Linked DNA regions of Arabidopsis thaliana. The protein of the gene in region 3 interacts with the protein of the main gene of each other region in a pairwise test. Each region holds a gene or a part of one and is shown on either strand. Other genes may lie near its edges. The genes, in order: MP, AT5G47790, IAA6 and ARF18.

Region 1 (9,621 bases), about 13 Mb from region 3:
TAAGCTTTTTCAAGCAACCAGGATTCTTGTAATACGTTAATGCTGACAAGCCCTTGTTTACTTTCTTTGGACTGTATGTTTGAGATAACTGGGCCAATGGTAAATGTTCATGTTTGCTGTATATTCATATTTTGTGTGTAGTGATTCCTGACTCTTAACTAGCGTATTTGATCAAGATCTCTAAGGATTTTGTTTACATGTCAACTGATAATGTGTTTCTCATGTTGAACAGGTACGGCTATTCATATCAGAGGATTCACCTTCACAAGTTGGATCAGAGTCTCAAGATCACCTGCAAGCAAAGTCACCATTGGCTTCACATCCAAGTGATGATAATCTGCCACCTGGTTTTGGTGGACCCTTTTCTGCGAATGAGTCCCAGATTAAGTTATCAGATATCCCACTAATAAAGTGGAAATGCTCCGTCCAGGTGAGTTCTCGGGTCGCACTCCTTAAGCCTTTTTAGTTAGAATCATCAACTTTTTAAAGTACTAATTACAATTCCCCCAAAATGCCAAGATATTTACAGTTATAGTTTACATATATACATATGTTTTCCTCTAGTCCTTTAAGTTGGATAAGGGTATGGGTCACATTTGGTAAATATGGTGGTAAGGTGCTCTTGGTTGGGTTACCCATGTAGGATTGTATTTCCTGTTAATCTAGTTGAGGATGTTCAACCCTTACGATAGTGGCACTAATACTGTAGATAACATGTGCTTTTGCAGATTCTGCTAGATCGGGAATGGAAAGTGGTTGCAGGGGACGAAAGCAAAGAAGTGGAGGCCCAAAATGAGAGGGAATTGAGAGTTCTTGAAGCATTTTATCCTGGCGCATCATCTATTCCTCCAAAGTCCGTATCTAACCCCTACATATTCTTCCAACACACATTTGCATACCCTTTTACTTTTTTTTTTGACTTGGGCCTTTTCTTAAACTCCAATCTGCAGCCCTTCGGTTCCAGCTGATGTTGAGGACTCACATCATGATGATCAGCAAACCATTGTCATACCCATCCTACCTGTAGAAGATGATGACATAGCGATGGATTCAGCATCTGATTTCCCAACCCAATCTGGCGTGGATGTGGGAACAGAGCCATCAATAACCGATGAGAACACATCAACTTCTTCAACCCTCCCTGCAGGGCCAGATATAATGGCTGCGTTATCTGCAATCTCAAACAGCAAAGAACAAGGCAGTATGATCGACCAAGATCTGCTTATTAAAATCCTAAGCAACCCTAAGTTGGTCGAGAATCTTGTTGCAAATCGTGGCAGTGCAGGTTCAGTCTCCTCCAACACAAGTAGCCTCTACTCATCTTCAACACATGAAGCCAACGGAGTAGTAACCACGGCACCTATTTCCTCAAATGGACAATTTTACGCTCAGCCACCCATAACTCATATTCCTCCCATGGCGTATACTCCTCACGCTCCTCAAGACCAACCGAACTATGGAGCACCGCCAGCAAGAGATGCTAGTTATTACAAGAACCTGATTCAGCAACATGGCGGGGATAGACAAGAGACGCCGCCAGTTCAACATCTCGGTTATCGATACAACCTCCAACCTGGAGGAGGACCTAACCCGGAGATGGTAAATAGCAGTAATAATAACCAGAGGCCAAGGGATTCAAAACCCAAGATAATGAAGGCTTGCATGTACTTCAACAGCGCAAGGGGTTGTCGCCATGGAGCTAATTGTATGTACCAGCACGATGCTACACCCTACCAGCCGAGGAATCTAAACAATGGTAATATCAACACTTCTGATATGCAGAATGCAAAAAGAATGAGATTTGACAGAGACTGATGCAGAATTAGCATACCACACATGCTCTCTGCCTCTTGCTGTTAGCAGCAGAGCAATTTTTCTATTTTCTCTTGCCTGGCTTTACTGCAATATAAGTTTTATATACATTTGAAATTATTTCTTGGTTTTATGCCACAAATGTAGAATTAATTAGCGAGTATTATTTGGCTCACCATCACAGTAGTACTTATACTATCCCTAGTGTTTTTAAGATGATTTTCTACACTTTTATCTTTAACATTGTGCAGAAAAAAGAGTAAAATAATCACAAGATTTCTAAGACTGTCTCAACTACTGATTCATTCATCACTCTACTACATAATATGAATATAGTTTCAGGTCTCAAATCGGAACAACACATCAAATGCTTACAACAAGATGGTTTCTCCTCTACCAGTTGGAGAAAAGAACATTTCTTACTCTCTTTTTTTTCTTACAAATCAGCATGAGATCATTTTTATATTGTTACATTTATGAAACAGAAGTCTTAAGATCGTTAATGCCTGCGCTGTTCAAAAGCTTCATCCCTTCTTCACTCATCTGCTGGACCTCAGTTGGCGACAATATCCTTATGCACCTTACGCATCCCACAAACTCTCTGCACCAGTTTATGTAGTTATGTAAGGAAAACTATTGTAAGACTGATAGTCAGATGAAGTTAATGGATTCACAGAACAGTGAGAGAGAGACTTACTCCCATGGATCATCTCCTACAAGCAGAACATCACTCTCATAATCAACATATACAAGCTTCCAACCCGAGCTTTGTGGGTGAGTTAGTAGTCCTTCCAATCCAAACATGCATTCGATAGCAGATTTTAGCTCCTCGTAGTCTTTAAAGCTTGTGACATCAATTGATCTCCCGACTGACCCGGTTTTTTGAACCTGCCAAGTCAAAACATTACCCAAACCCCAAAGTTTCATGTCAGATTGTGACACAAGAAATTTGTGGAATGAATGAGAGATAATCTTTTTACCTTAGTGTAGGTTCGGACGCGGGGTGTCGCAATTTTCTGCCATGATGAGCCTTTACTATTTTGCCGCAGACTACAATCATCAAAATCAACATTGCTTGAAGATGTACCAGTGCCTCCAGAATTATCTGGAAAATCTTGGCGAGAGAAGGCCTGTGAGTCTGCAAAGCTAGCTGATGTGATCTGCGACTGGACATCTTGAGCAAAGCTAGTGTTGTTGTTTCCAACCAAACAACCAGAAGGGTGGTTCTGGAAATCAGTGTCTTTGATGGCACAGAAGTCATCAAGGACTGTGTTTGAGAGTGGAGGATCTAGAATGTTACTGGTTGTGCTATTACTCATACAGATATTCTGACTAGCATAAAGGTCCTGCTGCATCAAGGGACTGAACTGGTCAAACTTGAGACCGTTCAACTGAGTGTCCCACACATCATGAAACAGCGGTGAGTTTGTGGAATCCGGTAACACAACAGCTGAAGAATCCTGGGAGGATAGAATGAATGGTTGCTTGTATGATCCGGCAAGAGACTGGAAGGAAGAGACTTGTGATGTCAGCTCATCAGTTTCCAGGAAAGAGAATCCATTTATTGGATCAGACTGTGGTTGGTAAATCTGATGAGTAATGTCAAGACATTGATCAGCTTGTACAGGCGACGAAGCACCCGGTTTCTGAAGTAGCTGATTAACCTTTTCCTCATTACACACTGTGGATGTAGTAACCTGGCTTGCCTGTTCCATTGACTGCTCAAGTCCATGTTGGACTCTACCAGAGCTGCAACCAGAGAGTGTAGAGTTCTCAGGTTTAGCAGGAGCACTCATACTCTGTGAAAGATTCTGTTCTTGGCCACTCGTATTAGAAGCAGATGGGTTCACTGTTAGCTTGTTTTGTGGCTGCACCATCTCAGATTTCTGGTTCATCATCAGGGGTTGCTGCATCTTCATATCTCCTAGCAAACCTCCATTCCCCATTACAATATTCTGCTGCATCTCAGACATGAAAGATGGTACATTTTGGTTGTTGTGAGGCCTCATCATCATTTTCATAAGCTGCTCCGAAGCCATACTAGGGAAAGATGCATATGGCATAATCCCATTCGCGGAATCAGGAACACGTATAAGTGGCCGTTTTATCAAGCTACCCCATTCAGTTTCACCAGCTGCATATTTCATAACAAAACTTTAAGGCAGCAAATCTCATGTAAAGTTCACAACAAGGCACACTTATATTTTACTCACCAAAGTAAGATGGATGGAGCTGACGTTTGAGTCCTGAGGTCAGAGAAGGAAAAATGAAGAGACTTTCAGGTGTTTCGATATCCCATGGACTGACCCGAGTAGGTTTATCATTACATCCAGGCTCATCCCATTCTACCTGAAGGTTACGCCACTTAGAACCAGGCCATCTCAACGGATCCAAATCGCTGATTCCAACAATAGTTCCCATGTACCTAAATACACAACCAAAACGTGTATAAGTGAACAACCAAATTTGATAAACAAAAACAGAAAGATTGCAGTTTACGGATAACTTACCTTCGTTTCCCGGAATCTTCAGTTTCAAACATCATTCCAAATCTCATACCAACTGAGAGCTGAGACCCGCATATCGCCTTACGGTACTTAGCTAGAGGGATCACGAACTCTGCTGGACAAGCTCTGAGAACAAACACCATAAGTTACGTTACAACTAAGAAAATAGTTTTATATCATTGAGGATTGAAGAAGCTTTTGAGCTAACCTTGGATTATAGAATATCAAAAAAGGAGTACGGTTGGCGGTTGCGTGAGCAGCAGCAGCAAGAACACCGATGTGCATACTATCCGCTGAGAGAACTGATGAAGGAAGTGCTGTTTGTTGGCGATTGGCACGCCTAACACCGACCATAAGTTGTGACTTCTCATCCCTTTTGGCACATTTTCAAAGGACAAATGACAGTCAGAAGATAAGCAACACCAAAATGAGTCAGAGCCAAAATATCTCAATAGCCAAGGTTTTTCACCTGATGAACAAAACAGAATCCCCAGCTCTCAATCTCTTCGATCCAACGAACAAACTCCATCCTGTAGTTAGGAGATGTCTCTTTGGTTGCCCTGAGAATGTAAGCAGGAACTGAGCTCAATACCAACTCAATCTAAACAGAGAAAGAGACAAATCTAGTGGTTATACCTCGGTAGATATGGCGAAATGTCCAAGTATTCTCATGAAGATCTCGAACTACAAGCTCTTGCGTTGGCGGCTGTGCTGAGTAGTCCTGCAATGTATTTAACATAACATTAGCAGGCTAGCAGCAGTTAAAGCAATAGGAACATATGAGGAAAAGAGAAGCTCACCAATGGTGGAAATAGCTTCTCTGCAGCTCTACGTGGCACTGAGAAACCTCCATGTGTGCTTGTGTCACTTGCAGTAAGTGTTTTGCAGAAAAACTCAGTCGGGTGCTTACTTCCTCTCAGCATTCCAAAGTCTGGTACAGGGAACACATCTCTCTCCTGATGCACACAAACCATTCAAACTCATTCAACTTCAACATGAGTTCTTAAATGAAACAAAAGGAAGTTGCAAGAATCCAAAACTTACAGAGTGAACAGGTTGAAGACTCATCTGAGCATAGATTTCGTCACTGTCTTTGTCAGCCTATCAAAGGGGAACAAAACCATTGTCAAGAAATATCAAACTTGGTTGCAATTTGTTTGGATACGAAGCAAATGAGAAAGATTGGCGTACATGAAGAGTAACATTATGGACTTGACACATCAACTGAGATGGAAGGTTCGGATAATTAGGAACTTGTGTTGTTGCTGATCTTCTGGTTGAAACAGCAACCTAATAAGTCAAAAAGTGAACAAAAAAAATCAAACCTTTTGAACAGGAGCTAACAAGATCTAGAGAAGTACAATGTGTTTGTTTGTTCTTTAAGACACACAAAGTTACCTGCTCGCTATGACCTTGTGAGAAGTAATACACTAAGCTCCCAACTTGAGGGAGACACACCAAAGGGCCTGCACAAGCGTGCCATAGCTCCGAGTTTATTACCGGCTTTCTTGTACCTGAAAAATGTTCAAAATCGCATTTTTAGGGGAAAGTAACAAAATTTCTAAATGTCATTAGCATAAATTATGAAACCTTTTGTTATCACAGTTTATTCTTAAAAAGGTAACTTTTTTAATAAAAATCTTGAGAAAGAAGAAGATGAAAACCTGACTGGTCTTTCAACAGCTTCATCTCTTCAAGCAAGGTAGATTGAGATGTTGTTGTTGTTATAGTTCCTCCACCATTAACCAAACAACTTGTTTTCATCTTGTCTTCAACACAAGACAATGAAGCCATCATACAGAGAGATTTTTCAATGTTCTGTTTTGTCTCTCCCACACTCAACACTAACTAGGCTTTAGCAAGACTCAAGAGTTTTTCTTTTTCTTTACTAAGTCTTCATTTTATTTTATTTAATACAAGAAGAGACAAAAAGAGCTCTATTGAGCAAAGAGGCTACAAGAAGATAAATCCAGGACAAACCAGAGGAATTAAAGACAAAGCCATTTCATGGAATCTGTTTTTTTTTGGTTAAAGAAGACTCCAAAATCGAAGGACAAAACCCTTACACATGACAAAAACAGAGTGGGAGAGATTAAAGAACATACAAAATAGGGACTACACAGACAAGCATGTCTCTCTTGTGGGGCTCTTGCCTCTTCTCTTTCTCTCTCTCCACTCTTCTTTTCTCAGACCAAATTCGACCCTTCAATGAAGAAGAGAAACCAAAGGTGCCATCATGAAACCACACAGTTTCTTTCTTTGGTTCCGGATGCAAACAAGAACAAGAAGCAATTGAGAGAGAGACAAAAGCTTTTAAGAAAAAAAAAACTTTTGCTTTCTTTTAATTATTTCTCTGAAAAATCCCACATTTTTTCTTCTTCTCTCTCTAATGTATATGAGTATTAGTATAAATGTGTATGTATAGGTTTTATTTTGCTTGGAAATGGGAAAGAGTGTGCATGCTCTTATCCTGCGCTTAAAACTTTCTGTATATGGCGATGCCGTTGCAGCTTTAGACTCTTTAAACGAATAATATTATATTTTATTGTTTCCCATTAATTATAAAATAAAGTTTTGGTATTTCAATAGATACATCTATATTATTATTTAATGTTTTAGAACAGTTTACGTCAAAAATTTAATAAAGTAGAGTAAGCACACGTAATCTCTGATACGCACAGAAACGTAGTTGAATGTACAAGTACTTTCAATGCTTATGTTATAAGGCAGATAATAAAGCTTAAAATAAGTACCATGAGTGAATATTATTTTAAAAAGTGTCCTACTTTTTCAAGAACTTTGTAAAATATAAAATGTTTTTTGATTATGGCAATAAATTAAAATTGATTAAGAACTTTATGACAAAGGAGGAGGCTTCTTTTTTCGTTGCAATAATATATACTTTTCTCAAAATGTTAATCTTTTCTTGCTGAGATTTCGTAAAAGGGATGTGAGTGGTGAGACTTTGGGAGATCTCTAATACAAGGTGCGTATGATAGGAGAGAATGTCAAAATAGCGTATATTAGCACGAAGCCTAAAGAGGTTACGGGAGGAAGTGTATCTTCCAATCTTTTTTGCCCGGGTGTTCTTTTCCTTTCCAAGTTAAGGACTTCAAAAATGTTTTCTTTCTTTGGTTAGAAAAAGTTATTTTGATATTTGCAAGATTTGGTATAGAGATTAAAAAAGATTTAAGTATGGTTTAGTTAAAACTTAAAAGTTATAAGGTGGTATTGTTTATATATACTTAAGAGTTAAGACCACCTCCAAATAAATTGAAAGGACTGTTGTTTGTGGTTCTTGCATTTGTATTGAAATTGAGCTTTGTAAAATATATTTGTATCTACAACAACCAAAAGAAAGGAATATCTTGGTTCTCTGCACCTGTAAACATAGCTTGTTCTGCTCATTATTAATATCTAATACTCTAAACCACATGTGTAATTATGTCTAATTGTGTATAGTGTGTACCATTACATCTTTAGACCTTTTTAGTTACATACATTTTTTTTTTTTACGCACACATCTCTAGTTTGACCTTTCCATTGTTTTCTTGCGACGAAATAATTGACATGCGGTCATTGTATTATATTGTATGATATGAAACCATATCACTTTCCATATCATTACTTATCAATCATACGTAAATAAAAATCGCTTTCCTTCATGTAATATTACTCATAAACAAAATACAAATGAGCATAGTTAAGTTATATATAGGATTAGTACACAATCCACATTATCACATATTAGAGAAAAATAATCAAACATATTATAATTTATAAGTGGATATATAGTAGCATCATTATGATAGAATATCTATATAAACATAACTACTTATTCGGATACGCGTTTGTCACTAAGATATATTTGAATCAAAGGATCTCCAATCAAGTATATAATGTGTGGAATTTGCTGTTGGCAGCACATTTTAATATACAGTTCAAATTTAGCAAGGAGTGAAACATGCTTTTGATGATAATGGAAAAACTCTCATTTCCGGTGCCAAGATTGTGTGCCATCAGCAAAATCTTTGGAACAAATAGTCATTACGTATAACGAGGAATAACATCCCACGATGAGGTTTACTAGATATAATTTTATCATTCTTATCAATTGTTTTCTCTTGTATCGTTTTTTTTTTTCTCTACTGTATATCATTTGTGACAATGCCTTCAATAATCCTAAATTCATAAAAATAAAAACTCTTACCATACCAAATTTTAACCACATGCAAAGAAAAGGATACCAATCAAAATCAAGTGTATGCAGATTATCAATCCGAATCCTTCCTAAACGTTAGTTTGTCTTATGTAGATTGGAAACTTGTAAAAAAACAAGAATAAGAAATGAAGAAAGAAAAAAAGAAAGTGAAAAGCATTATTTGGTGCTTTTGCGTCTGAAAATTTTGACCGCTAGGCACGCGTGAAGTGGACGGCAAATCAATGGTTGAGTAAGAGAGGAAGAGGAGGCGTACATTAGCATACTCGACACGTGTATTTTAATGTTATTTTGAAAATGATTTTTGGACCGACACGGCGCCGTTTCTGCGCTTCACAGTTCACATCCTTACCTACCTCTCTCTCCTGCCAAACTAACAAAGCAAAGACCGATTCCTATTAATCCCATAAGAAAACAGTTTCATTATAATTTTACTTACTGCCACTAGATTTACTTTCTTAAATCATCACAAAAAGTATACTTCCATATTGGTGTAACATAATATAGTACAAATCTTATAAATCGTAGTAATTGAAAAAAAAACATAAAATAGTGGTGGCTTTTAACAGTGACAGTGGACCAAGTAATGTAAAATGGAGATATAACATGTAGAATAATTGGAAAGAATAAAAATGTAGTGGAACAATAAGTGATTAGCAACCTAAAAATGTATAATACGTAGTGAAATTTTAACTAACTTTTGGCTAACCAAAAACATTTATGTTGGTTTAAAATTTTACGTTAAGTTGATGAAGATACTTTGAAGAAACTTTTTGAAGGTAATTGGTGTCGTACACATGGGCAAGTGCAACCTAATTTTTGGTTAGAATAATGAAAGTAATAATACTGATTAACCCGGGTAAGTGTCGATTACCGTTCAAGATGATCTGTGCAATAGTAATACTTAGCACGTAATAGTATGTTATAGAACAGTGAACGAGATATTGTAATTTACAAGTGAAATAGAAACGATTGACCATATGGGATACGAAGATCACGAATCCGTAATAATAATACGAAAATCAGGTAACGCTTGGAGAAATAAGTACACGTCACATTCCAAATTTATGAAAATTCTATTTG
Region 2 (6,961 bases), on a different chromosome or scaffold from region 3:
ATCGTTTGAATCTTCTTCCTCGGGTACCTTTTCTTTTTCCAGTTACTTATTGATTCGCCTCACTCAGATCTTAGCTCGTTTCTTCACTTTCTTCTTCACATTCATCTTTAGGAATCTCCCGCTGTGCTCAGAGGAGGACTCGTCGGTGCTGTCTATTCCGATAAGAATTCACGGCGGCTAGGTAACTTCAATTCTCTCACTCGCCTCTCTCTGTGATGTCTTCCTTACTTGACTTGATTATTTTTTTTAACATTCTCAGACCAATTGTCTGCTCGAGTTCTTTCCGCCACCGACGATGATACTCACTCACATACTGACATTTCCATCAAACAAGTCACTCATGATGCAGCCTCAGACTCGCATATTAATAGGGTACGTGTTTTCCGGAGAATCAGATTGGATATTCCCTAAGTTGATTGGCTCCAGATTTGAATTTGATGCTTGGTAATAGTATATATTTGGATCCTTGTAGGAAAATATGCATGTTCAATTGACCCAACAAACCTCTGAAAAAGTTGATGAGCAACCAGAGCCTAATGCTTTTGGAGCTAAGAAAGATACTGGAAACGTGTTGATGCCTGATGCTCAAGTGAGGCATCTTAAAGATCAGCTTATTAGGGCAAAGGTTTATCTTTCCCTTCCATCTGCAAAGGCCAATGCTCATTTTGTGAGAGAGCTTCGACTCCGTATTAAAGAAGTTCAACGGGCACTTGCAGATGCCTCCAAGGATTCGGATCTGCCAAAGACGTAAGTGTTTCTCACCTCTTGAAATATATGTTTCTTCCTCTTTAACTGATATTTCTCTGCCATTTTTTTGAACCCCAGTGCTATAGAAAAGCTAAAAGCAATGGAGCAAACACTGGCCAAAGGCAAGCAGATCCAAGATGACTGTTCTACAGTGGTCAAGAAGCTACGTGCTATGCTCCACTCCGCAGATGAGCAGCTACGGGTCCATAAGAAGCAAACCATGTTTTTGACTCAATTGACTGCTAAGACCATTCCTAAAGGACTTCACTGCCTTCCTCTGCGCCTCACTACAGACTATTATGCTTTAAATTCATCTGAACAACAATTTCCAAATCAGGAGAAACTAGAAGATACTCAGCTGTATCACTATGCCCTTTTCTCTGATAATGTTTTGGCTACGTCAGTTGTTGTTAACTCTACCATAACCAATGCAAAGGTAAGAATTAACTTTCTTCTTTTGTTTGAACATGTAACTGTGTTTCTTTCTGTTAAACTTACGGTCTTAATGGTTTATTGGCAGCATCCCTTAAAGCATGTCTTCCACATCGTCACAGACAGACTCAATTATGCGGCAATGAGGATGTGGTTCCTGGACAATCCACCTGGCAAAGCCACCATCCAGGTTCAGAATGTTGAAGAATTTACATGGCTGAATTCAAGCTACAGTCCCGTTCTCAAACAGCTTAGTTCTAGATCGATGATAGATTATTACTTCAGAGCCCACCATACAAATTCAGACACCAACTTGAAGTTCCGGAATCCAAAATACTTATCGATCCTTAATCATCTTCGTTTTTACTTGCCTGAGATCTTTCCCAAGCTCAGCAAAGTGCTCTTCTTGGATGATGATATAGTTGTGCAGAAGGACCTTTCTGGTCTTTGGTCAGTTGATCTGAAAGGTAATGTTAACGGTGCTGTAGAGACGTGTGGGGAAAGCTTTCATCGCTTTGACCGTTATCTGAACTTCTCAAATCCACTCATTTCCAAGAACTTTGACCCTCGAGCTTGTGGTTGGGCGTATGGTATGAATGTCTTTGATCTGGATGAATGGAAGAGGCAAAACATCACAGAAGTTTATCATCGATGGCAGGATCTGGTATGCAGAAAATATATATATGCTAGGTCGCATCTGTTTTGATTTCAAGAATGTTTGCTAATCATATACACGAACGATTTTAAACTGCAGAATCAAGACCGAGAATTGTGGAAGCTAGGGACGTTGCCGCCTGGTCTAATCACATTTTGGAGACGAACATATCCGCTAGACCGGAAATGGCACATACTAGGGCTTGGATACAACCCGAGTGTGAACCAAAGGGATATTGAGAGGGCAGCCGTGATACACTATAATGGCAACCTCAAACCATGGCTAGAGATTGGGATTCCAAGATACAGAGGCTTCTGGTCAAAGCATGTAGACTATGAGCACGTTTATCTCAGAGAATGCAACATCAATCCTTAGAATTAGAGTCTGTTGTGAGGGCAATATTATACGTTTATAATCTGACGAGATGATCATTACATGAAATTGTATATGTCACGGTAAAAGGAGTTCCAATAGGCACGACCGATGTTATTATTGCAACATATATATCAACAAGAGGAATGACAACGAAACAATGAAACAACTACTTTTCGTATTCCTTTTTGTCGCTGTTTATGTAAAGCAAGTGACAATTGACATAGGTCTATAGGAGACTTTAGACTTTAATCAAATTTGCCAAAGAGCAATACAACATAAATAGTCAAGCCGATTATCGAACCAGAGTAGCATGAATATTAGCCCAGTGAAGACGAAAAGAGATTCGAATCGGAATTACGTGAATGTGATTTCGAATGACTCTGACAATACGTTTTGACTTGTGTAGTTTATTGTATATTCAGTTTAACTCTGTCACCCGCCGTGTTCAACCTTGCTGGTTCAGAGTTCCACAGGTAAGTTTTTCATAATTTTCTCACGCTGCAGTCCACTTGAGTAGTACTCTAACACAATGTTACAGGTTGGTATGGTTGCCATCAACGATGGGATTCTACTTCGTAATCACATCCACAGGATTCTCAAAGCATTTCCGTGAAAAGCCTTACTATCTTGACCTAGTTGATTTGTTAGGATATGAAATTCACTGATCCATAAAAAAAAACATAGGGGTACGTTTAGAAGAATACATAAAGTATAGGGACTGAAGCTGCAAATTTATGTTCTCAGTAGATGTTCGATCTTTGGACAGAATTGAAGAAAGGAGAAACCCTAGACTGAGTCTGGTTACTTGAAGGGGATCATGTGAATACGTCGACTGGTAAAGAAAGAAAGATTGCTGCTTTTTAGATTTAGATTCGAGAATGTATGGAAGATCTGGTCTTGACAGGTTTAAGAAGTCCCAAACTTCGGAACCCTTCTCTGTATCAGCAAATCCTCCTCCGGTGGTACAACAACATCTGTCTCCGGAGGCATTGTCGGGGCAAAAAACTCAGATTGGAGCTGGTCAATCAAACTGGCATCCCCCTGATTGGGCGATTGAGCCTCGTGCCGGTGTCTACTCTCTGGAAGTTGTGAAAGACGGCCAGATCCTTGATCGGATTCATCTAGATAGACGAAGGCATATCTTCGGGAGACAACATCAGACTTGTGATTTTGTCCTTGATCATCAGTCTGTTTCCCGCCAGCATGCCGCAGTTGTTCCTCACAAGAATGGCAGGTTTGTCATCGCTACTCAATTCTCTCATCACAGCTTTGGCCACTGTTGACATGAGTCTTTTTTATTTTTTGTAGCATCTTTGTGATTGACTTGGGATCAGCTCATGGTACGTTTGTTGCAAATGAGAGGTTGACTAAAGATACTCCTGTAGAGCTTGAAGTGGGTCAATCCTTACGATTTGCTGCCTCCACAAGAATCTACCTTCTGAGAAAGAACAGTGAGGCTCTCTTTTCTCGCCCTCCACCTCCAGCTGAGATTAAGCTTCCTCCACCTCCTGATGCTTCTGATGAGGAAGCTGTTGTTGCTTACAATACCTTGCTGAATCGATATGGTTTAAGCAATGGAGAATCTGGTGGTATGTTAGGGAAAAGGAAAGAGAAGACCGGATCAGAAGCGGGAGTGGCTAAGAGGATGAAGAAAGTGAGAGTGAGCTTCAGGGATCAACTAGGAGGAGAGCTGGCTGAGATTGTTGGCATGTCTGATGGAGCAGACGTGGAAACAGAGCCTGGTCCTATAAATGTCAAAGAAGGAAGCCTCGTTGGGAAATATGAATCACTGGTGCGAGTGACACTCATACCCAAAGGCAAAGTGAAGGAAGAGAAAGCCTTTACAGGAGGAACAAGAGGAGGTGTAACAGATCGACTCCAGGAAGCTATGAATATGTTGAAACGGGGTCCAAAAACAGGGATTTACGATGACCTTTACGGTGGTGACTCACTTGCCAAGGCTGTTGGTACGTCATGGGCTTCTGTGAGTCAACCAGCAGCTGAAACTGAATGTGGAGGGGTTGGTGAAGAAGATGATAACGACGATCTGTTTGGTGACTAACTGATTTTGAACACTGAGATTCCTTTAAGTAACTCTTCTTCTTCTCTAATGCCTACATTCCATTCCAAAGGCATTGGTATGTTGTTTCCTCTTTGTCTATCCAATGGCTGCAGCAAGAAAAGAGAGCAGCTCTAAGCCCAGGCCCATTGTCTTGTGTTATAAGTAAGAACCCTGAAATTTGATATGAGCTTGAGCCTGGTCAGTGGTCATTCTAGTTGTGGGTCTTAACAGGAGATGCATTACATAGATAGTCATTACAAATAGTGTGGAGAGTAGAGAGTAGGGCCAATGCAAATGGAGTGCATTTGATTAGACCACTACTGACTTACAGATTCTCTCCTCAAGGCAGACCAATTCCATCAGAAGAGGACATTTGTACTCAAATACCTCTCCTCTCATTCTTTTTCACTTTTGCCTTTTTGCATTATTAAAACAGCACACTAATGATGTGGGTTGACTTCCCTCTCCCCCACAAAAACAGAGATTCCATGGGGGGAAATGGACAACAAGTAAAACACTTGTAAAAATGGTAATCTGCCTCTGATGCTTTAAGATATGATTTGGGGATCAATGCATCTTTGCTTTGGGATTTGCTTTGTGACAGTTAGTATAAAGAAGAGAGAAGCTGAATGTGCTGCAACCAAATTAAAACTCTCTTTTGAGTTAAGCCTATATCCAACTCCTACTCTTCCTAGTGTGGTCCATTGTATTTATCATAAGAGTAAACTCGCTTGTAATAAATTATAGTAGGGAAAGGTGGAAGACCCACTTTTGTTTCTCACTTTCTTTCTGTTTGGTGAGAAGTTGTTTTCCTTATGCAAAAGATGGAATGCATGAAGGACACTTGTGTCTGGCTTTTTATTTATTTTGGTTGTGGATACTTTCATGATATACTTTACGACCTCAACCCTTTAATACCACACAATCTACCTCCATTCATCTTTTCTCTTCTCTTAATTTTCACCTTATCTCCCAACGAGACCATAGAGGAGTTACTGACTCCAACTTATAGCTACTAGCTATGCTGCGTAACTCTCTTAAACACTACCTTGGCACCTATGACAAATATGTTAGTGAGCCAACTTTTCTGGCTTTGATTTTCAAACCAAACAAGTATGAAGGAAATACATATCAGACACCATTTGGAGACTTGAGTCCATGCGGGGAGCAACAAGTGACGAGGCCGGGACCCTTGTTGCCATTCAACTCTCTCTCTCTCTTGGGATTTAATTTCACTAACACTTTATGTCAATTTGATCATTACCACTTTCACATCTCTCTCTCTTCTCCTTCTTCTTCTTCTTCTTCTTCCTCCCTCATATCAACCTTTGAGCACACCAGTTTTCATGGTAAAATCAATCATCCTTTTGCTTTATCTTTTTCGTTTTTTTTTCTCTCTCTTTTGGTTTTCAGAATTGTATCATAAACAGACTACATGTGAGTTTGTATCATTTAGGAATACATATAATAAAATTTCAGCTTCATCAATATGTAATTATCTTCCTGTGTCTTTCCCACTTTTACCTAAAGATTTGATCACTTTCTCATCATATGTATATATATATTCCTCTTGAACGCAGAGAAGTCTAGGATGAAGTTCATGAAAATCGGAACAAAGCCTGACACTTTCTACACTCAAGAGGCTTCAAGGTTGTTCCTTGATCTCTTTGCCTCTAAATTTCCCAAATTCCATTTCTCTGACAAAATTTTTACACTGCAGGATTTTGATAACAGACACACCTAACGATCTTGTTATTAGAATCAACAACACCACTTATCATCTCCACAGGGTATATATCTCGATTGACTCTCTTATCATAGCAGCACACACATATATGTATGTTAATAGTGGTTTCCATCTTTGTCTGCAGTCTTGTCTTGTTCCAAAATGTGGGCTGTTGCGAAGGCTTTGCACTGATTTAGAGGAGTCTGATACTGTTACCATAGAGCTGAATGACATACCTGGTGGAGCCGATGCTTTTGAGTTGTGTGCTAAGTTCTGCTATGATATCACAATCAACCTCAGTGCTCATAACCTTGTGAATGCTCTCTGTGCCTCCAAGTTTCTTCGGATGTCTGATTCCGTTGACAAGGGAAATCTGTTACCAAAGCTTGAAGCTTTTTTCCACTCCTGCATTCTCCAAGGCTGGAAGGACTCCATTGTCACTTTGCAGTCCACTACCAAATTGCCAGAATGGTGTGAAAATCTTGGAATCGTCAGAAAGTGTATAGATTCAATTGTGGAGAAGATCCTCACTCCAACTTCAGAGGTCTCCTGGTCTCATACATACACCAGACCAGGCTACGCGAAGAGACAGCATCACTCTGTTCCAAGAGACTGGTGGACGGAAGACATATCAGACCTCGACTTGGACTTATTCCGCTGTGTCATCACAGCAGCCAGGTCAACCTTCACGTTGCCACCTCAGCTCATTGGTGAAGCTTTGCATGTCTACACTTGCCGTTGGTTACCATACTTCAAATCAAACAGCCATTCAGGTTTCTCAGTTAAAGAAAACGAAGCAGCACTGGAAAGGCATCGGCGTCTTGTTAACACAGTTGTGAATATGATTCCTGCAGATAAAGGGTCGGTTTCTGAGGGTTTTCTGCTGAGACTTGTTAGCATAGCGAGTTATGTGAGAGCATCTCTCACAACAAAGACTGAGTTGATTAGAAAATCTAGTCTGCAA
Region 3 (5,845 bases):
GAAGGGATTTTTTTTTTTTTTGAGGGCAAGTTGTTTAGCCATCTCACGTAGCTCTTCAGGTGAAGGAGGACGAGGAGCTTCTTTAGGATAAACAACGTATGAATGATTGCCCATGAATTTCTTGATGTTGGTGCTGTTGTTGGCGAATGTATAGATTAGGACGATTGGTACTGCGACGTATACACCGAATTTGGCGATTTCTAGAATCCCCTTTGATGTTCCTACTGATGACATTTGTATGAGACTCCAATATCTTGATGTGATTCACATAGAACACACGATGAGCAAGCTTTTAGGGGTCTTGATTAATTTGGGGTTTTTTGGATTGAAATTGATGAACTGTGACAATGAAGTGGATCAAATCGACGACAAACGCTAATGTTTATAAAAAGTAAAATACAATTGTTGAATAATTAAAAAAAAAATCGAGAAAGAAAACTAAACCGAACCAAAAATAAACCAAAGGTAATTTGAATTTATTTATAAAATCCGATTAATTGAAAAATAATCGAAACCAATTCTAATGTATTTTAAGAAGAAGAAAAAAAAAAAACTTGTGTATTTAAAGTTTTAAACCAATATTTGATTTTGGCGGTAATTTTGGTTTCTAGTTTTATCAGTCAGTTTATAAAACAATAAAACCATTTGTGATTTTGTTCGGTTTGGTATTGTTTGGAATCGGTTCAAAATTTAGGTGAACATAACTTGAAAGCGAATTATACAGAAAATTTGACTGGTTGGCCCGGTTTCGCCCGGTTTGATAAGTGAAAATTTGTTCATTAATATATACAGTACTCAAATCTTATCAACTTTTAGAGTTCTTGAGCCATTACATATACATTTTATTCGCAAGACTAAGTAGATCTAAAAGAGCAATTGTGATGCGAGGGACACAATTAATGAGAGTAATGTTGAGATGATGATACATATATAGAAATCAAACGCAGCAGCAACAACACTTGCACTTCTCGTAGCAGCAACAGCAACAGAACAACGCGTAAAACCTACAACAGGTTAAAAGATTATCAAATAATCAAGAACTCCGAATTCGATAAATAAAAAAAGAAAAGAGAAGAGATACTAAATGATACAAAAGGGTCTACGATACAGATACTAAATGAAAAGAGAAGAGATTATATTTTGGTACGGACGTTGCGAATAAGCAGCCTTGTTCGTCTTGCCGTTTCTTGACATTGTCATAGTAAGTCATTTCTTGTTGTGGCGGTGCCTTCATTCTTTTGCGTGAGTGTCTTGATAACTTTAGGGGTTGGGATTAATTGGATGTAGTATATATATAGACTTCAAATCTGCTACCTGCAAACTGATATGATCATTTAATACGGAAGATATGGCAACATTTATTTGGACCGACAAAGTGGTTAGAATCTTCACCCAAAACTACATTTGATATGATATAGGAATAAGCCAGCTTTAATTTGGCTCTTGGTGAAAGAAAAAAACAAATATTTAACATTTTTCATTCTTTCTTAAATTAGTTGGGAAGATTCATTAGGTTTTCACTATTTTTAGCTCCGTTTAAGATTCATAGGTTTCCACTATCTTTGGATCGGCGATAAAAAGATGATTTAGCCGGAGGATTTATAAAGTTATAATAATCACGTACCACTTGATTTTTAAGAGAAAATAATAGTAAGTCTAGAAAACTACTAAAGCAAACTATTGTGAGGCATTACTTTGTTGTTATGGTTTTTTTGTAGTTGATTACCCTCGTTTCCTTTTGTACTTTTGTGAACAATTTCAAGTGTTATATTTCATATGAATCATTCAGACGAAAAAAAAAAGTATTGTGAGGCTAAGAAACACCTTTAATGAGCCATAAAACATTAAAGTATGATACGACCAGTAAGGAAATACATTTGAAGAAAACGTATATATCATCATTATCATATAAATTTTACAATTTGAAAAATGATTATAATGAAAAAAAATTACTCAACGGTTTTCAAACTTTATGGTTAATTAAAGATGATCAACACTAGCTAGTATGATTAATCTTGCTGGAGACCAAAACCAGTTGCATCTGATCTCTTCACGATCCTCAGCCTCTTGCATGATTCTTTAAACATCCTGCCGACAAAAAAAATTTACAATTTAAAAAATAAAATTACAAATTTTTGACTTGTAAGAGGTTAATTATATTCATTTTGGTAAATTTGATAATTGAGCATTGTAATGCAAGCTAAACATAAACTTACTGCCAAGGTACATCTCCGACGAGCATCCAGTCTCTATCCTTGTCTTCGTATATAATAATGTATTCACACTTCTTACCCTCCTTCGCCACTCCTGCATAGTTTATATATACATGTGTTATATTTCATAAAGTTCCAACTAATATATGTGTTTTACTCTCTTCACACTTCCAATATATATAGAAACCCTAACAATACGTATATATAAAGTTTATAGCTCAATTATAAACATGGTCATGTAACTATTAACTAACGTTACGGGAAATTAGTCCATGCCATTACTAACCTATGCCAAGACAGCCGAAGAGATTCTCAAGAACCGTGACTAGATTAATATAACTGTTGCTCGAACCAAGGTCAATCTTCCTCATGTATGGCACACCATCCATGCTCACTTTCACGTAGCCTATAGCTTTCGATGCTTCCTCATTGTTCTTCTTTCTCCTGTAAGAACACACAGGTGGCCATCCCACCGCTTGACTCTTCACAACCGGCAGTGATTCATCTTCAACTGATGAAACGACGCTGTTTTCATTCTCAGTATCTAACGCTGATGAGGTCATCATATCCGAGAGCACCCTCTTCTTCTTCTTACTCGATCCGCATACTGATATTTCGCTATAATTATCTCCTGGAAGACCCAATCGAAGCTCTGTGATCTCGAGTGCTAGACCTTCCTTTGCCATTTATTTCTTCTCTTTTTTCTTTTTGTTTAAATTTGGCTATATGAAGTTTTGATACTTTTTTTTTCTCTCAAGCACTTCTCTTGTTGGAATGATAGTATTGAGCTGCCTCGTGCTTTTATATGTTGTCAAGTTGCTCCAACAAGATCCAATAATATACTGACACATGGAAGAGACTAACATTCATAATTATTTCTGTTAGCTTTGTGGAGGAAGACAAGGTTAGACCAAAGACAGGTCAACTGAGGATGTGTTGGTCGGTCACATGAGAGACATATGTTGGGTCCTTGTTCTTCATTTTTGTTTATATAGGATTTGTTTTAAGAGAACAAATCTTACCGGTGTTAATATTTGTTAGGTTTCTTATAAGATTTATCATTGGCCATCTTTCCTAAACATTACATGTGTTATCCTTAATAATATACAATTATGTATTCTAAGGATACTGTATTAGTATTATTTCTTAGCCTATTCTTGCTCACATTTTTATTTGGTAGTTGAATACAAATTGTACATACAGGTACATCAAGAATCACATAATGTAGATTTGAGAATCAATGAAGAAAAAAACCCTCACATCAAGGATTGGAATTAGAATTAAGGAAGTTGAGTGGGAAATAACATGTAATCAATAGGACACGTCTATCATCGGACTATCACTAATGTTTTTTTTTTTCTTCTTTAATTTACTTTATTTGTGGCTATTATTTTTCCTATTTTAAATATCTTAATGCTTAATATTTGTTCACATTTCTAAAAAATAACGGCTGGATTTTGTGATAGAATGAATAGATGCATTTAGCTTTAAATTCGTTACTTAGTGACCTAAGTTAGTTACAAAATATAACACAAATAATCTGAATAGGTAAGAGTAATCTGGTTCTTTAGTCTACTACTCTACTCTATAAACAATCTTTTGCATCGATCATATTCAAATCTGGATTTTGCAATATAATATACAGCTAGATATTTGAGGGAAGAAAATGAAAAAACGTGTACGTGAGTTGGTTCTTGAATGAAGAAGAACAAGAAGTTGGTCCATGTGACATAATATGAACCATAACAATTAGGCAGACGCGTTAATTTCACTTCATATCAAACAACATTGGTCGTCCCAAGTGTTAAGTGTCTTTCACCAATGTTTCCATGCATTTATGATTTATGTCCCATTAATTCTTCTATATAGTGTATTAATATTTAATCTCGGATACTTTAGTAATACGTATCTGCCAAAAATCATTTGGTATACTTTTCCACGTGATTCATAGAGAAGAACGACCAAATAAAAATAAGATGTCAAGTATGTTCCTACATCGCGTAGCTAAATGATGAAACCGCATGAACTTTGATTTGAATATTTATTTTTGGGTCATATACTAATTCTGATCAAATAAATAACACGCAACTTGGAATAAATTTATGTATATAAATGTAATCAGAACCAACAGAATATATATCTAGTTCGAAATCATGAAGGCAACTATAAAATTCAGTATTTACAAGTGTGATGATAATGAAAGTGTAATTGTATGAATCTCCGTGAATGGAGAGTTATGTATTGAACATATATATAGGGTTACATGAGATAAGCATAAATCTGTTCCTAAGATATTAGATATATACAAATATAAGATTCTCATATATATAATCTAACAGAAAGACAGAGATCATAAGAAGAAGAAAAAAGAATGATTCAGTTTGATATTTTTATATATTTCATATTTTAGAGAAGAAAAAAAATGTGTTTTAAACTAGATAATGTTTTCAACTTTCAATGTAAATTTTTTTAATTGTTTTCACGATTTAAGTTCTGTAGGTTGTTTTATTATTTGTTGAATCGTATTTAGGTACATAATAAATGATTTTTAGTTTAAAAAATAAATAAAAATAAATGATTAATTAATTTGTGTGCAAAACATTTAAACATCTAGTATCAAAGACGGAAGAAGTATTTAAGTTGGAGTTGATAAACCTTATAAACTTCCAAATACCACTACAAGAAAACAAGCGATTTGCGAGGACAATTTGCGATGGAAACAATCCCTCGCAAATTGCTACAGATTTGCGAGACATTTGCGAGGGAGAGAAGACACGTCGCTTTTCCGTCGCAAATTTTGCGAGGGATAATTCCCTCGCAATATTGCGTGAAATTTGCGAGGAACTTGCGAGGACGAAAAAATTCCTCGCAAAGTCATTGCAAATTGCGAGGGACTTGCAAGTACAAATATTGTTCTGTGGGAATTTTTGCGACGAAACTTACAAAGATCGTGATTTCGCTGGATGGTTAAAATTATATGTAAGTAATATTTGGAAATTTTGATATCTTAATGACTTATGTTGAAATGATAAACTTAATTAAAATCTACTTTATGTAGGTTACTAACGGATGTGAAAATGAACTTTTACTACTTTGGTTGTATGAGATCGTTCAAGAACCAAGATCTAAGATCACAACCGCAAAATCATTCGTGGTCGATGTCAATGCAAACAAGACTTATGCAAAGTTCAAACCATTTATCCTAGCATCACAAGCTTTCTATCTTACCCGCGTGTGAGGCCTAGGCGTGAAGTGTGGTTATCGGTTATTAAAGTTAATTCCAGAGGCCGTATAGTCGGCCTAGTTGATGATGTTGTGATGTAACAAGAAAGTCTCAGAGAAGTTTCCATACCAGACATAACAACAGAAGATGTTATCCACATTGACCTACAAAATAGACAATTAGAAGACATCACAGACGGTTCCGAAGAAGAAAAACAATAAGACGAATTCAGCAAATCTGCTGAAAGCGTTGAGTAAAAAAATGATAGTAATGATTCAGAAAATGAATAAGAATAAATGTTACTATATTGTTTACTTTTGATGTTTTTACTAAATATAATAAATAAATGAATAAATAATTCAGAAAATGATTTATATATACTTTCAATTTTATAATTTTAAAGATTTTT
Region 4 (8,309 bases), on a different chromosome or scaffold from region 3:
ACAGGTGATTAAGTATATTATCAAATATATCAATGGAATATAACAGTGATTAAGAAGAATAAACAAAATTAAAAGATTTTGTGGAATGGATTCCACTAAACCACTACGCAATTTAAAAATAAAAATACTTAACTAATGTATAGTTATTTATTCCCATCCATGCGTTCATATTCACTTTGAATGATCATATTCGTAATCCTATTTATTTATTTTACTATTTGAACCTTTTGTGTGTATAAATAATTTCAACTAGAGAGAATATCCGCAGCAGCTCGTTAAATTAGTCATTGAATTAAAAAAAGATATTCAAATTTTCACCCAAGAAAAACGAACGCAACTAAAATGACGTTCAAATTTGGCATCATCTTTAGGTGTATATTATTGTGAGAGATATGCAAGCATGAAATCTCATGCAGGATAAGAATCATTGTTAAATTTATTTTAATTCCGTTATATTTATGGTAATATCATCCTATTACCTTTTCTAAAATTATGTTTCACTCTTTAGTTCAACCTTTGGTGATGAAATTCGATTCTTTCATATCTCGTCTCCGCTTTGCAAGGATTTGTCCGTACAATAATCATATGCACTATTTTAATTATTTTTTTGTTGGGTGGGATTCAAAAAAGTTTTTTTTACCCCTCTATCAGCTAGTTAGAGAAGTGAGACTATATATGATTCCAATCAATAATACATCACATCTATATTTCGTCTTGTAACGCGGCCACATAATCTTCATCAACGAAGCTTGAATGTTGTAATAGTGTTTCACTATCAACAACACACATTTGTAGGCCTTATGTAATTAGCGAGAGAACTCTACAGTCTACACTATAACTTTGAGTGGAAATAAATACTCGTATATGGTAACATAAAAATACTATGAACTTATGATTATACAAACTTGTAAGTAAAAAAGAGTGGTAAGGCTATGTAATATCGTCGACGTTTTCTAGGTAAATCTTAAGCTATAAAAAAGATTTTGAAACCCAAATAGTATCGAGTGATAGCATTAGTCTCATCGGGTGGTTACAAGCCAACATTGATTCGTGTTGCAAATTTTATTAAATACAAGGGTGTACACAAATCAAAACGCAATAATATTTTTGGATCATAGTCTTTCTTCACTATCATTGGGAAAAATAAAATAAAATAAGAAAAATAGCGATAGAATTTCCTCTGTAAATGAGCAAAATTGGTAGGACAAGTCAGCATTTGACACGTGTCGGTCATGAATACGACTAAACAGCGTGGCAATTTCTCTTACTCTGACGTGTCCATGTGGGGACCACTTTCTCCTCCGACACTTCGGCATGGCTTTCTCAACTTTTTATCACTCTTCTTCACCATTCTCATTTACTAAGCGCGTGTCTCCCACCTCTATCCGATTTAATTTTTTAAATTTGACGTTTCAAAAGTTCCTTCTATAAAAGCAATTAACGATAATTATATGAAATCCGTAAACATGAATTTTTCAAATAATTTCGATTTTTGATTTGCTAAGATTAAAAGCGCGTGAAAGAAAAAAAAGAATACAGCATGAACACCAGCGACTCAGAACTGACTCGGCACGTGGTAACATAAAACTCACACGCTTCCCAAGACGCTCGTCCCATAAAGAGTCATGGCTGTGACCTTGTGCGAGTGTGGGTGTAGCCATAGCCTTTGTGGGTCCTAAATAAAAAAAACGATCAATGGCATAATGTGTAATTAACTCACATTCCACAGTGTTAAATAAAAATTAAATCTGTAACGGAAAAAACAATCTATCTGATGTTACACAAAAAAAAAAAATAACGGAAAAAAGAAAATGTGGCCGGGGTTTAATAGAGAAGCCGACACGTTTGCCTGCCACGATCCAGACACAAGACGATGTGGGTAACGGCACCGTCAAGTGCTAACGGCAACGGGGTCATCAGTAAAAAGGGCAATTTAGGGATATAGAGTAAAGTCATAAGCTTATTTATTACTATCGTCTTGATCGGACGGCTGAGATTTGCCCTCTCCTTTAAATGCACCGTACGTTTTTTTTTTACATAATAAAATGTAATTAGTTCATAAGCAATTCCCAAAACGCCGCGTGACCCTTCGTTTGCCTTTGAATACAATTTGTTTTATTTTAGCGCATTTAATATATTTGAGTTTCCTTTTTAGCGATGACATGATAAAACAAAAAACAACAATTTTAGAAAACATTTAATTAAATGAATAGAAAAATAGGGAGATTCAACTGAAGTTACTGTGGGTGGAAATGACAGGTCTCCAGGATCTGAACTAAGAGAAAGTCTCTCTATATTTTGATATATAGAGAGAGATAAAGAAGGAGAGAGTGTGAATATATGTATGTGCATGATACTGTGAGACTTCTTCAGTAAAGGAAGCAGCTTTGGTTTGCTGCGGATCGGGATAAAAACGGCGAGAAGTTTGTGATTGTTGAAGCAAAACAACACGGAATCTGAAAGGAAAGGAGAAGACAAAAAAAAAAAAAGATTTTAAGAGGAAGAGAGAGAGAGATCGGTTTCGTGGCTGACGGAAAAAAAAAGGGGAGAGATTTAGTTTTATCCAACAGTGCCTGAATTACGTTCTGCAATCAATACGGACATAACCGTCCGTTGTGTCCTGTTTATAAAGTTTTGCTTTTTTTATTTTCTCCATTGATGGGTCTTTTCTTTCTTCTCTCTCTCGTGTTTCTTTCATGGGGTTAAGACTAGTGTTTACCGCGTGAAGGTTTTTTTTTCTTTCTATTTTCTTTCATTTCCTCTCCTTCTACTTCTTCTTCTCCAGTTCTCATCTGGGTTCTTCAATGGCGAGTGTTGAAGGTGATGATGATTTCGGAAGTTCTTCGTCAAGTGAGTAGTAAAAGGCTGAGACTTTAGAAAGTTTTGTTTTTTTTTTTGTTTCTAACAGTGACTCTGTTTGGGGTTTTACTCTGTAGAATCAAAATCAGCTTTGTAAAGTTTCGATTTTTTTTTCTTTCATTTTCTCGGGAGACGAGCTTAGAAAGAAATAGAAAAAACCCCAACTTTCTTATTTTTCTCGTATAGCTTCAAAGTTCACATTTTTGTTATAGTTTTGCCGCGGAAATGTGACTGTTAGGGTTTTGTTGTTGTTTGATTTTAGGGTCTTATCAAGATCAACTATACACAGAGCTATGGAAAGTTTGTGCAGGTCCATTAGTGGAAGTTCCTCGTGCTCAAGAGAGAGTTTTCTACTTCCCTCAGGGTCACATGGAACAAGTATATACCCACCCAAAAATCATCTCTTTTTACCCCAATTTTTCTTTTTCCATTCTCTTTCTAAATTCTGGGTTTTTTTGCAGCTTGTGGCGTCAACTAATCAAGGAATCAATTCAGAAGAAATACCTGTTTTTGATCTTCCTCCAAAGATACTTTGTCGAGTTCTTGATGTCACTTTAAAGGTAAAGTTGGATCATAAATGTTAAAATGTTTTATTTCCCCTGAATCTGTTAACTAAATTTTGATTTATAGGCGGAGCATGAAACAGATGAGGTTTACGCTCAGATCACATTACAACCAGAGGAAGATGTAAGTTCTTAAAAAAAAAACTCAACTTTATTTCAGTGAGTGTTAATTTATATTGATTGGAATTGATTTCAATTTACTGTTTTGTTTGCAGCAAAGTGAACCAACAAGTCTTGATCCACCTATTGTTGGACCAACTAAGCAAGAGTTTCATTCGTTTGTTAAGATTTTAACGGCTTCAGATACAAGCACTCATGGTGGATTCTCTGTTCTTCGTAAACACGCCACTGAATGCTTGCCTTCTTTGGTAAATATATTCTTAAAGAAACCTTCTCAATTCAAGAAACTTTAGCTTGAATTCTCACTCCAATTTTACACTTTTTAGGATATGACACAAGCTACTCCTACTCAAGAACTTGTGACTAGAGATCTTCATGGCTTTGAATGGAGGTTTAAGCATATATTCAGAGGTATTGATTCTAATCTTGGTGTGTTTTTGTGAAACTGTGTTTGGACTAAATGAGACATTGACTCATTGAGTGCCGTTTTTGGTTTAGGACAACCACGGAGGCATTTGCTTACTACGGGTTGGAGTACATTTGTATCCTCGAAAAGACTTGTAGCTGGAGATGCTTTTGTGTTCTTGAGGTACTTTTGAAATTGAAACTTTATTCACTGGTCTTGTTTAGTTTCATGAACCTAAATGTAATGCCTTTGTGTTTTTCAGGGGTGAGAATGGGGATTTACGGGTTGGAGTGAGACGATTAGCTCGGCATCAAAGCACAATGCCTACTTCGGTTATTTCAAGTCAGAGCATGCATTTGGGAGTTCTTGCTACAGCTTCTCATGCTGTGCGTACAACAACAATCTTTGTTGTCTTTTACAAGCCTAGGTATATAGTAATGTTCTTTAGATGATTTTGCTTTATATACATAGATGGTTTAGGACTCTTTGATTGAAGAAAAGTTTTCTCTCTTTGCAGGATAAGCCAATTCATAGTTGGGGTGAACAAGTATATGGAAGCTATAAAGCATGGATTTTCTCTCGGTACCCGATTCAGAATGAGGTTTGAAGGAGAAGAGTCTCCTGAGAGAATGTAAGAATCCATTTTCTCTGATCATTTCTTTTTTGTCAGTGTTCTTGATTCTGAAACCTGGAACGTCTTCAGATTTACTGGTACGATTGTGGGAAGTGGAGATCTATCTTCACAATGGCCAGCTTCTAAATGGAGGTCATTGCAGGTTCAGTTAACCATTCCACGTTCTTACATTTTAGTGTTTTACTTATTACGTGGTCTTTATATAACGTTTTTGTCTTGGTCTTTCTTAGGTACAATGGGATGAGCCAACAACAGTTCAGAGACCAGATAAAGTCTCACCATGGGAGATAGAGCCTTTCTTGGCAACTTCCCCAATTTCAACTCCTGCTCAACAACCACAATCGAAATGCAAGCGGTCAAGACCCATCGAGCCATCAGTTAAAACACCAGCCCCACCTAGTTTCTTGTACAGCCTCCCTCAGAGCCAAGATTCCATTAATGCATCCCTTAAACTGTTTCAAGATCCATCACTTGAGAGAATTTCAGGTGGATACTCCTCAAACAACAGCTTCAAACCCGAGACTCCTCCTCCTCCAACGAATTGTAGCTATAGGTTGTTTGGATTTGATCTCACAAGCAATTCTCCTGCTCCAATCCCTCAAGACAAGCAACCGATGGATACTTGTGGAGCTGCCAAGTGTCAAGAACCCATCACTCCAACCTCAATGAGTGAGCAGAAGAAGCAACAAACATCAAGAAGTCGAACTAAAGTAATTTTCTTTATCAACTCATATAATAACATAGCAACAATGTTTTGAAAATCTGATTTCTTTGATCTTGGATTGAAAAAGGTGCAAATGCAAGGCATTGCGGTTGGTCGTGCGGTTGATTTAACACTGTTGAAATCTTACGATGAACTGATTGATGAGCTTGAGGAGATGTTTGAGATTCAAGGACAGCTTCTTGCCCGAGACAAATGGATCGTTGTCTTCACTGATGATGAAGGAGATATGATGCTTGCTGGTGATGATCCGTGGAAGTAAGTTCTAAAATAACAGAGTTAAACATTTCCGGTTTAGCTCAAATCAGTTAAATGTGAACTTAAACCGGAACTGATTTTGCAATGTTCTGTTGTGTGGGATTGTGCAGTGAGTTTTGCAAGATGGCAAAGAAGATATTTATATATTCGAGCGATGAGGTTAAGAAAATGACAACGAAACTGAAGATTTCTTCGTCGTTAGAGAATGAGGAATATGGTAATGAATCATTCGAAAATCGTAGTAGGGGGTGAGAGTTTTAGCTGTTAATTAAGGTTAATTCGGCGACGTCGTTTTAGTGCGTAAGTGTCTAAAGACTTTTTTTTTAGTCTGTGTATATAAAGTCTTGTCCTCTTTTTCATGTCAATTTTTCAAGTTGGCGATTTAATATTTCGGTTTTGGGACAGTGGTTGATGGGGCGGTTTTACATCTTTTATGTGTATGTACTTGTTCCATAACCATTCAATTTTCAAAACCAAGTACATTCAATTAGTTATGGGTTCAAAGATTATATTTCTAATCAATAATTAAGGCTTAAAAAAAAAAAAACTACAGTATTAGAGAAGAATACAAAATACGTGAAGGCGTGGAAATCAACGCGGCGGGCATCATATGAAAGTCATGGAAAAGTAAAGGAGTCAAACGACTAGTTAAGATTCTCTTTTGGAGTTGGTAAAAATATTTGTGGATTAATGAACTTCTAGGATATAGTGTTATTAGAAAATTGAACTGAAATCGAAAAAAATGAAAACTAAACTTTGGAAGTTCATGTTATCGTGCCAAAAATAAGTCTCCATGATGTTCTCTATAAAAATTCTTAAGTTTTAATTTCCAAACCTTTTAGCTGCATCAGATTTTTCTTTAATAAAATGCAAATGACAAAAGAAAGAAAATCTATTTTGTTTTCGGATAAAGTCACATATGAAGTGTATACTGTAGTTGATATTTGTCAAAAAAAAAAATATTGTTTTAAACTTTTAATTCAGATTTGCCTTATAATGAAGAAGAAAACAATACAATTATTTTCAAACTTAGTATTGGTTTGGTGGTGGTTATGTACTTATGTAGTATGGAGCAACTGTTTTTTTTTTGCTAAAGATTAATTGTTTTTGGTATGGAGAAATTGTTTTACTTTGACAAAAACCAAAAAAGCCTCAAGCTAACTAAACTGAATAGATTTTGGAGCTGTAGTATAGAAAAAAAAAAAAAACATTTTTCTGTTTGGATAAAAGATTTGTAAAAACATTTCTACCTTTATAAATGATATAAAGTTTCAGTCCGAACAAATCATACAAAACGAACATCCATAGGACCATCATACTCAAAGTATGAGCTACAAATATCGTACTCCATTAATATAAAATCAAACAAAACTTAAATTTTCATACATATACTAAGAAATTAATAGGTGACAGAAAACAAAATTAAACACGATCGTAGTTTTAGTTGTAGTCGAATTAAATCTGACTAATTTTCCTCAACCAAAGAGTACGGGTTTGACTTTCAGTTCGAGGAATGGTTATAGTTAAACAGCGTTGCATCTTCAATGACAATTACATATATTTAATCCATTGTCTTCTTCTTCAAACGAATCATAATAAGCAGAAACAAGAAAGAGATATGGTTAAAACCCAAAAAAAGAACAAGAAAGATACAAGTTTTGACGCAGACGATAATGAGACGATGATAATCATCACATCGAAACTTCAACATGTATTAGCCGCGAAATCGAGAAGGCTACAATACTTATCATCACCGGTAACGACTAAAGACGTGTCATTGTCACTCATGTCGTCCCCTGATGATTCACTCTCTCGCGCTTCGATTCCTTTCTCATGGGAAGAAGAACCTGGCAAGCCTAAACACCATGTTCGTCATCCTTCTTACTCCAAGTGTCTTGATTTGCCACCGAGGATGCTCTTTCCTGACGAATTTACCAAAATGCCTCGGACAGCGAATCATGGTCGTTATCTCGCCGGGTGGAAACGGTGGTTCCGGTGGAAGAAAGAGAGAGATGGTGATGCTTATGTGGCCGGAAGTGGAAGTTATATTTATCCATCGGAAGATGAAGATGATACCAAGACCACAAGAACAAAAGGTCTCCATTGTTTCTCTTACGTCACTAGGTGTTACTTCTGGGTAAATTAACCTTAAACTTCATTCTATTTCTTTAAAAAAAAAATTCTCTTGTCTTGTCAGAAAGAACATGTTTGTATCTTCTTTTGTTTTGCACGAAGTTCCATGGAAGAACAAGAAGCTGAAAATGAAAGCTTCTGTGAGAGCTTTTTAAAAAAATAATACAAAACAATACGCCGTCGTTTACTTGTATGGACCATACTTACTCAATTATGGGCTTTTCTTAGTCTATATACTGGCCCAACACCTTAATAATTGTCAAATTATTTTATGATGCTCGAGCTGGATTCGAATGTATAGAAGATAGGATGTTGCGAAAAGGCAATGTGGGCCAGTAAAATGGACAAATAATGCATAAGATGTGATCTTCCATATGCGATAATCATTACATCAAATGGTCCTGCGAATTATTTTTTGTATAAAAAAAATTAAAAAAGTTTCGAATTCTGGTGGCTAAATTCGTTCATTTTGTATTTGAGTCAAGCAACTAACTAATATATACCGATGTTCTTAAGCCCAATAAATTTGATAGGCCATTTAGTATAAAAGGCCGGAGAATAAAGAACAGGTCGACTTGGTAGGTCGTTTAAGGCTAAATAAAACGCCACGCAAGG

Evidence for each region.
Region 1: the proteins of IAA6 (region 3) and MP interact in a two-hybrid assay, tested with the Arabidopsis thaliana proteins (3 studies listed by BioGRID, with this or other methods).
Region 2: the proteins of IAA6 (region 3) and AT5G47790 interact in binary tests that used the Arabidopsis thaliana proteins (3 or more experiments, as listed by UniProt).
Region 4: the proteins of IAA6 (region 3) and ARF18 interact in binary tests that used the Arabidopsis thaliana proteins (3 or more experiments, as listed by UniProt).

Annotation. Positions count from the first base shown.
Region 1 is NC_003070.9:6,883,848-6,893,468, reverse strand, and holds MP (Transcriptional factor B3 family protein / auxin-responsive factor AUX/IAA-like protein), read right to left. Parts: upstream 6,801-9,621; 5' UTR 6,117-6,800; coding exon 5,984-6,116; intron 5,834-5,983; coding exon 5,718-5,833; intron 5,610-5,717; coding exon 5,511-5,609; intron 5,421-5,510; coding exon 5,364-5,420; intron 5,276-5,363; coding exon 5,120-5,275; intron 5,041-5,119; coding exon 4,956-5,040; intron 4,880-4,955; coding exon 4,789-4,879; intron 4,693-4,788; coding exon 4,528-4,692; intron 4,446-4,527; coding exon 4,323-4,445; intron 4,238-4,322; coding exon 4,026-4,237; intron 3,947-4,025; coding exon 2,793-3,946; intron 2,701-2,792; coding exon 2,510-2,700; intron 2,414-2,509; coding exon 2,287-2,413; 3' UTR 2,065-2,286; downstream 1-2,064. Other genes in the region: AT1G19860 (Zinc finger C-x8-C-x5-C-x3-H type family protein), read left to right, coding at 40-99, 233-430, 729-853, 951-1,815. UniProt on the Arabidopsis thaliana protein: Auxin response factors (ARFs) are transcriptional factors that bind specifically to the DNA sequence 5'-TGTCTC-3' found in the auxin-responsive promoter elements (AuxREs). Seems to act as transcriptional activator.
Region 2 is NC_003076.8:19,348,309-19,355,269, forward strand, and holds AT5G47790 (SMAD/FHA domain-containing protein), read left to right. Parts: upstream 1-2,983; 5' UTR 2,984-3,087; coding exon 3,088-3,443; intron 3,444-3,517; coding exon 3,518-4,271; 3' UTR 4,272-5,187; downstream 5,188-6,961. Other genes in the region: GAUT4 (galacturonosyltransferase 4), read left to right, coding at 1-23, 112-181, 260-372, 473-747, 826-1,183, 1,268-1,843, 1,934-2,209; AT5G47800 (Phototropic-responsive NPH3 family protein), read left to right, coding at 5,293-5,620, 5,852-5,921, 5,992-6,061, 6,143-6,961. UniProt on the Arabidopsis thaliana protein: Inhibitor of protein-phosphatase 1 (PP1). Binds to and inhibits PP1 activity.
Region 3 is NC_003070.9:19,670,661-19,676,505, forward strand, and holds IAA6 (indole-3-acetic acid 6), read right to left. Parts: upstream 2,993-5,845; 5' UTR 2,900-2,992; coding exon 2,500-2,899; intron 2,308-2,499; coding exon 2,217-2,307; intron 2,089-2,216; coding exon 2,010-2,088; 3' UTR 1,816-2,009; downstream 1-1,815. Other genes in the region: AT1G52825 (sporulation-specific protein), read right to left, coding at 1-234; CDT1 (cadmium tolerance 1), read right to left, coding at 865-1,004, 1,152-1,200. UniProt on the Arabidopsis thaliana protein: Aux/IAA proteins are short-lived transcriptional factors that function as repressors of early auxin response genes at low auxin concentrations.
Region 4 is NC_003074.8:22,885,367-22,893,675, forward strand, and holds ARF18 (auxin response factor 18), read left to right. Parts: upstream 1-2,522; 5' UTR 2,523-2,804; coding exon 2,805-2,850; intron 2,851-2,901; exon of another isoform or gene 2,902-3,121; coding exon 3,122-3,237; intron 3,238-3,320; coding exon 3,321-3,419; intron 3,420-3,489; coding exon 3,490-3,546; intron 3,547-3,637; coding exon 3,638-3,790; intron 3,791-3,868; coding exon 3,869-3,953; intron 3,954-4,040; coding exon 4,041-4,131; intron 4,132-4,210; coding exon 4,211-4,375; intron 4,376-4,465; coding exon 4,466-4,579; intron 4,580-4,651; coding exon 4,652-4,724; intron 4,725-4,812; coding exon 4,813-5,292; intron 5,293-5,373; coding exon 5,374-5,561; intron 5,562-5,671; coding exon 5,672-5,813; 3' UTR 5,814-6,089; downstream 6,090-8,309. Other genes in the region: AT3G61826 (uncharacterized protein), read right to left, coding at 1,265-1,357; AT3G61829 (uncharacterized protein), read right to left, coding at 1,825-1,956; AT3G61840 (auxin response factor, putative (DUF688)), read left to right, coding at 7,180-7,707. UniProt on the Arabidopsis thaliana protein: Auxin response factors (ARFs) are transcriptional factors that bind specifically to the DNA sequence 5'-TGTCTC-3' found in the auxin-responsive promoter elements (AuxREs). Could act as transcriptional activator or repressor.